Linked DNA regions of Coturnix japonica. The protein of the gene in region 1 binds, or shares a complex with, the protein of each later gene. Links are inferred from orthologs where the notes say so. Each region holds a gene or a part of one and is shown on either strand. Other genes may lie near its edges. The genes, in order: DIS3L and EXOSC10.

Region 1 (3,305 bases):
GTGTTTTGGCTTTGACTGAATTAGTCTCACTTTATCTGATCCTGTTTCCTGGCTTAAAGCTCTGTACTGTCACAGTACTGTCTTCTTCCTCTCTTATGCGATAGCTGCAGCAGTCCAGTGCACTCTTCTGCTCTGTAGAATGAATGTAGTTTCAAGGATGACAGCTGTGCCAGAGCCCTGAGAATGCCTTACCCAGCAGCATAGAGCAGACTTGCTCAGCCCTACCTGAGGCCCAACGTTGCACATAAGGCAGGTGAAACAAGTTCATGTCAGTGGGTTGTATATGATGCCAGTTGTGCAGCTGGGGAATTGTGCATAAGGGAGGTTCTGGGTTAGTGTGACTGAATTCATTTTGTGTGAACGTAGGTATGAGTTAAAACTCAATAGAGTGGAAAAGAACCACCAGTTGTACTAATTAGGATGATGGTAAAGCAATACTTTAGGTTTAAGAATGTAATGTATGGAGAACAAGGGTAAGCAGGCTTTTTTTCATTGAACGACAAACAAAAGGATTCTCAACACGGGTTTTAGTCTGGAAGGTAACATTTATCACATAAAAAATCTTTGTTGCGCATGCTCATGATCAGCTACAAAGAGATCTTATTTAAAACAGACAATTTATCTCATTAAAATGACTTCATTTTTAAAAATATACAAATTGTACAAAGTAACTGTAAGCAGAGCATCAACAACTACATGCATCAGCTGAGACATCTAATAGAGCCCAGTCCCTGATCTCCTCCAGCAGCTGGTACAAACTTGCTCCCTTTGTCTGGCAGTACTCCTGATACTCCGGACACTGTTCTTCAATTACTGCACTTCTTGCTTTTTCCTGGGCGCTCAGCGCTTCCGCAGACTGACTGACTGCTCTGACTAAGTCAGATTTCACCACGCCAAAATTCTTCTTGGAAATTTCTGTGGCTGAAGTCTGGAATGGGGCGTTCTTGATTATTTCAAGCTTGATTGTGTCAGCGTGGCAGCGGGAAGTCTGCACGAGTATCTTCACCTTAAAAGCAATTTAAAAATCATTTTATTGCTGACTATGCTATTTCCTTTTACTTTCTTCAAATTAAGTACTCACTGTGATGTGATCAAAGAGGCTTAATGTAACCGACTCTCCAGTGGTTGTAGTGGAAGTAATTCTATTCTGAAACCGCTGAAGTGATCCAGGCTTCCACTCACAGCTTCCCTCACCTTGACAAGACAGGACTAAGCCTTCCTTGTTTTTCATGTAAGCAGCACCTTTGATTCCATATCTACAAAAAAAAGCAGGTGTGTAGGCATGAGCATAGAAATCCTTCAGAAACCTTCTCGGTTACCTTGCTAATTTGAGCAATCCTTTCTCCATAGCGTCTCCTTTTCAGAATTAAAACATGGAAAAAACAATGTTCATGACTTACAGAAAATCTAAAATGCAGTCATCAGTCAGTGCTTCATTTCTCAAGGACCAGAGGTGACCTCGCAGCATTTCAGAAGCAAATGTCTGATTTTTAGTCTCAGTCCAAGCTCAAATCAACTTACCTTGGCACGAAAACAAGCACACCATTTGTTCGGATCGAGTAGATAACTCCATCTGCTACGCAGCGCTCATCTGTTTCTGGGCTTTTATCTTTGAAGTACATGCATTGGAAGAGTTCAGTAGACTGTTTCTGAGCATGCTGGGCTGCCTGCAGGCACCCCCCACAAAAAGAGAAGACAGAAGGACAGGTAAATATTCTCAGAAGCCTGTATGGCTTTGATATTATATATATTTTTTCCATTACTTATTCCCTAACCTGCTGAAAACAAATTGTATCTAGAAGGAGTGTTGCAATGCTGTAGTACCCAAAAGTCACAGCAGAGCGGTATCCTCTTTCCCTGGGTAACATGCAAACACAGACGCACACAGTGACCACCTTACCCTGTTCCTGTTGTTAATGTGTTTGCACAATTCCTCAAGATCCTTGTTACTGAATAATTTCTCCTTAACATCCTTAGTTTCCTTCAGAGTTGCTGCCATCAAGAGTCTGTGGACAACTATATCAGCGTATCTTCTGATAGGAGAAGTAAAATGAGTGTACTTATCTAAAGCGAGTCCTACAAATAAAAAAGGAAGCGATGAAAAGCAATCAGAGCATTCAGCTGCCCCACAGCAGTTCAGGAATAAGGGGAATTTTATAACAAATGAAAGTGTCAGGATACCATAATGATGAAACTCTTCCTCAGAACAAGAGCCAGTTGAGAAGTACAATGCATTTGACATTGCTTGAGTGGCCATAGATCGCAACAGCTTATTTACAATTGGATCCAATGGATCTTCCGCTTTATCCAGGGACTCAGCCAATGCTTTGTTAGACCTGTCAAAAAAGTGTTAATTTTATTCAGATTTATGTTACCCTGATCACAGTTAAAGTGTGTTAAAGTGCTTAAGAGAAGCAGTAAAAGATACCGTGTGTCTATTGAGAAACCTTTGGCGCTGGCACATTCTTGAAGGTCAGTAAAAAATTCCTGCCGTGGTGGAGGGTGTTGACGTAACAAAGCTTGATGAGGAAAGCTTTCTGAAATCTTTTTTGCCACCCAGTGGTTTGCAAGGATCATACATTCTGCTACAGTCTCGTGTACTTCCAGGGGCTGCTTGGGGATGAGATCATGAATGTTTTTTTTATCATCCAGTTGCACTCGGACTTCTACCCCTTCTAGTTCCAGAGCACCGCAGCTGTCCCGCTCAGCTCGAATGTGTCGTGCTATATCGGTGAGTTTTGATATCGCCCAAACCAGCTCAGACAATTTCTTCTCTCTTGTTTTTCCATCCAAGTCTTTCAGTTCCAGGATCTCATCAACAACACTTGTGTCCCCATCTAATAACCCCTGTGCTACTTCGTAGACTAGCTTGTATGCAGACCGAATGATGCTTTTGTTGTAGCAGACTTTCAGTATCTTGTACGATTCTCTTTCTAGTTCCCACAAGACGCTGACAGCGTACCTTAAAAATAAAACCCACAATTCTTTAAGCAGTTCTGGTTGACTCAACATTTCGAGCACATCCAACTGTTGCAAACTTACAGATTTCATTCTGTGCTGATTTTCTTTCCACATCTGTTTTGAAGCACCATTACACTGCAATAGTTTATTTCAGCTGTTTATGACCCCCTGCTACTTAGGTTACAAATAGTAACAATTCAGAGCCCATGCACACACAGTTACTCTGTGCCACGTGATGAAACATTTTTATTTCTGTGCATCCACAAAACAGGCATAGTCTAACTATGGAACAAAATTAATAACCTTTTTTTTTAGAGAAGTCGGTTTCTTATATGGTGACAGAA
Region 2 (4,343 bases), on another chromosome or scaffold:
TAACCCAGTTAATGGGTCTGAACAGGATGCTGTTAAGAAACATGCAAGGTGGCTCTGCTCGAGAGCTTGGAAAGAGACTGGGAAATCTTCAGAAAACACTTTCATTCATTCCCGTGCTCTAAACTACATCCACATCAGTGCAGACTCGAGGTGAATCAGCAGCAGAAATGTGACACCTTGCTGAGATGAGATGTTTCACTGGCAGCTTTGATAAAGGCAGATCTAATCGTGTATCTCCTTTTCTAACTTATTAGGAAAAGGTATCTGTAAAGTCAAGCAGACTTACAGACCAAGCAACAAAACTCCTCCTGCCAGGGGGACTCTCATGGAAATTCAATGGTGGCAAAGAGAAGCAGCAGAATATCTGTTGGGAACAGATTAGTTACTGTATACCAACAAAAAGATGTTGTATGCTGACCAAATCTTACACTGCACATACATAAACAATGGAGTCACAGAGCAATCTCATCCAAATAGTCAACATCTGCTCCTGCTTGCTTTTACAGTCAATATTTCCTCTTCTGGATTGTCAGGACAGATTTGTGTCAAACACTCTCAACTGATTACCCATCAACAACAAAAAAACTTACCTTCAGCCAATGGTTTCAAAGCATTTGGCTTGATAAAAAGCTTAGGTACAAAGGGAGTGTTGGAATTGTCAATCTTTTCTCGAAACTTAAGCTGTGGGCGAGAGATATTCTTGGCATGGAGCAGTCGGAAGGTTTCAGACTTAGATCTTTTGTGGTATTCTCCTGCCTATTAAAAAGAAAGCAAACCAACATGACTTAACAGACATCCAGAGCATCTTCCATTCACTGACCCCAGTACTGCGAGAAAAAGGAGGTGAGTGAGGACATATGAAAAAGTCCAAGGGAACATTTAACTACTAAAATCCACTGGCAAACTGCAGTACCAGTGCTGGGAAAAAGAGCAGCAGCCTCACCTTGCGGTTCCAGCTGGAAACGATCGTCTGTGGCACCTGCAACCCAGCAGGAAGGACAGGCTGCTGGTTTTTGTTCACTCCTGCTGCTTCATCCAGTAAAATACCCTAAATTCCAGGAAAAAAACAACAAAAATGAAAATCAAACACCCGCTCAGTTACTGTACTATGCTAAACATTAAACATAACTGCAAAAGCACTAACAGTAGAATTATTTTAACAAAAAGCACTTGTGGTACCTGAATACCTTATACAAGTAATGTTAAGGAATGATTTGCTCACCACTCTTTCAAGAATGATGTCATTGGAGTCAACCAGCATATCAAACTTATCTTCCAGCTCCGTGACTTTGCTGCGGTCTTTCATGTGGCTGCGGCAGCCGTGGTACTGCATCACCCTGCTCATGCTTGCAAGAGAACAGCACAGTTATTATGGATTTAAACAATAATAATAACAACAATAATAACAATTAACTGAACACTGAACCATGCAATTCTTCTCAACTTTCTACATCGCAGAAGTTTGAAAGCAGATCAAATGTAATACTTATAATAACATACAAAAAGCAAATGTATGAAACACCTACATGGTGCTAAGAGTTATTTAGTACTAATAGGACTGATTTCTTTATGAAACAACTTTCTAGATCACAGAACTGTTTGGGAGGGACCTTTAAAGGCATCAAGTCTAACTTTCTTGCAATGAACAAGGACACCCACAGCTCCATCAGGTGCTCAGAGCCCCTTCCAGCCTGACTTTGAGTGTGTCCACAGATGGAGCATCACCACCTCATTACTCTCACAGTAAAAAACCTTGTTATATCCAGTCTAAATCTCCCCTCTTTTAGTTTGAAACTCATTCCTCTTGTTCTATCAGATCTGTCCCCTTTTTTCTTATATACCCCTTTAGATACTAAACGGCTGTTCCCAGAGCATTTCACAACAGTCCCCACTCGCAGTTTGTTCCCATCAACACCATTAAAGGCAACTCAGCTAAAATTCGACACATGACCTAAAACATCCTTTTTACCACCAACCAGCCTGGAGATTCCATAGAATCCCCTGTCTGGGCCTGGCAGTTGCCGGGGCTGTGATGTCTCCTTACCATTGCAGCAGCCGATGTCCCTGAGCTGCACAGTACGCCCTGAACCCAGGGAAGCTGCGGTAGAAGTCGTACTCATCGCCAGGCTGGGGCAGCCCGCTGGATGCCTTCGTGGTGGCCACCATGGTGCCGAGGGCGTGCTGTGTGAGAACACCGTGTTAGTGCATTGCCTGCCCTGCTGCACACTGTGCTGACAAACCTCCATCCCTGTGTGTGTGCGAACAGTGCGGTTACATCCAACACATCGCAAGGCCTTGGTTTGTTTGGGTGTTTTTTAACACGACTAATCACAGAATCACACACAGAATCACAGAATGACCCGGGTTGGAAGGGACCTCAAGGATCATGTAGTTCCAACCCCCCTGCCTGGCAGGGCCACCAAACATACACCTTTACTAGATCAGGTTGCCCAGGGCCCCGTCCAACCTGGTCTTGAACACCTCCAAGGACGGGGCATCCACAACCTCCCTGGGCAGCCTGTTCCAGGGCCTAACCACTCTCCTAGTGAAGAACTTCCCCCTAACATCCAACCTAAATCTTCCCTCTTTTAACTTAAAACCATTTCCCCGTGTCCTGCTATTATCAGCCCTTTCCAAGAGTTTACTCCCCTCCTGGGAGTAAGTTCCCTTCAGGTATTGACTAAGTTGGCAGTTGTTTCATTCACACCATCTCATCAGGTTAAACAGAGTAAAGCGATAACAACACTACGCCTGTCGTGCCAGGATTTACGTTTAGAGAGAGGTTTATCAGCACAGACGCAGATCTGGGCTTTATTTCAATGCCAACCACATCACGGCACCGAGTGACCGCACGGCCCGGCGGGAGCTGTAGTGCACGGCCCCTTCCCGCTTCACCCCGCCCCGCACCTTCACGAAGGCGTCCACGTCGTCGAATCCCGGCAGCACCGTGGCCGTGCTCCCGTCTCTTTCCGTTTCCACGGGCGGTCCCCCCTGCCCCCCTTTGCCCCCTTGGGCCGCGCTGCTCCCCGCTACCGCGCAGCCGTTCCCCTCAGCCACGGCGGCGGCCATCTTGTCCCCTCAGCCACCAGACGCACGGAAACTCTCGCGAGAGCTTCAGGGCCGAGAGAGGAAGATGGGAGATGGGCAACGCATGCGGGCGGGTAGACAGTACCAAGCCTTATACATAGCGCCCCCTAGCGGCTGGCGGACCGCGCTGCATGCGACCCCCACCCACCCCAAGCGACCCCTCCTGCAACCTGTTACCTGCATCCCTGTCTCTTCCTAAGAGCTACTTAGGAACAAACAAGAACGCAGCCCCACGGTGCCACGTTTTGCTGTAATTTATTGGCACAAAAATATCCAAATACAACATGGCATCTAAACATGGCTACTCTGTTGTATTTTGTGCATTGTTTTTATTCATAATTCACGACTTCCTCCACTCCCATGTTATTATTATAACCATTATTTCATTTCAAGTTATGACCAGCTCTCCCCCTTTTGCCTCCTATGCCAGTTATCACGTTCCCCTTTTAATCTGCACACAGAGCTCCCCAGCGGTGTCTCATTGCACTGCTCGATCTGCACAGAGGCACCTGGTTATGGTCAGATGAAGGTCTGAAATTCTTAACATCTGCTCCAATATTCCATTCAGGGCAGCAATCCATCTGCAAATGATTCATTTACTTTGCAAAGTAATTCCAAACCCGTATATAGTTATATTTACCAGTTCCCCAAAGACCCAGTGGAACCATTGACACCTGCAGTACAATCAGTCTTCACTGTCCTTGGAAACCCAAATCAGCTATTGTGTTCCAGACAGCTCGTGTTTTTTTTCCAATAGCAGCTATAAATTGGCTTAAACCAACTTGTTAATATACAATAACTCTTTCCATTTACAGTTCAAACTATTTGACAAAGGCTGGATATCAGTCCAACGTTCAGTTTGTGTTTGTAGAAGAGCAAGTTTGGAGCGCAAAAGCCTCCAGAATAAAAAGGCTGTGGATACTTTGGGATCTTCTGTTACCAGAAAGGACACCTAAAAGGAAACAAAAATAGGGTGGTGATGCTCAGTGCAGCTTCACAAAGGCAGTGCTGAGAAGGACTGAGACTGCCAAGGCTCCGTTTAGAAGACATAGTATAGGAAATAGTATAGGAAAAGTTGGCAGGTGATCCCCCCACACACAGCTTAAATGCTTAAAACTAAGGACTGTTTCCTTAAGCATAGTCTGATGTTATCTCTCTCAAATGACAAATGTGCAACTAAATCATTTATGTTTGCTGCAGAATATGGAGATCTTCACTGTAACTGACATCAGTGACCAACATATGCCTTACTTCCA

Evidence for each region.
Region 2: DIS3L (region 1) and EXOSC10 share a complex: the UniProt entries of both Homo sapiens proteins name them as parts of the RNA exosome complex. The link is inferred for Coturnix japonica from reciprocal best matches to the Homo sapiens genes DIS3L and EXOSC10.

Annotation. Positions count from the first base shown.
Region 1 is NC_029525.1:16,731,520-16,734,824, reverse strand, and holds the end of DIS3L (DIS3-like exonuclease 1), read right to left. Parts: intron 2,963-3,305; coding exon 2,429-2,962; intron 2,337-2,428; coding exon 2,182-2,336; intron 2,077-2,181; coding exon 1,901-2,076; intron 1,668-1,900; coding exon 1,522-1,667; intron 1,257-1,521; coding exon 1,082-1,256; intron 1,007-1,081; coding exon 686-1,006; 3' UTR 526-685; downstream 1-525. UniProt on the Homo sapiens protein: Catalytic component of the RNA exosome complex which has 3'->5' exoribonuclease activity and participates in a multitude of cellular RNA processing and degradation events.
Region 2 is NC_029536.1:3,559,507-3,563,849, forward strand, and holds the start of EXOSC10 (exosome component 10), read right to left. Parts: upstream 3,095-4,343; 5' UTR 3,070-3,094; coding exon 2,908-3,069; intron 2,182-2,907; coding exon 2,045-2,181; intron 1,347-2,044; coding exon 1,223-1,346; intron 1,049-1,222; coding exon 944-1,048; intron 757-943; coding exon 591-756; intron 1-590. Other genes in the region: serine/threonine-protein kinase mTOR, read right to left, coding at 4,024-4,039. UniProt on the Homo sapiens protein: Catalytic component of the RNA exosome complex which has 3'->5' exoribonuclease activity and participates in a multitude of cellular RNA processing and degradation events.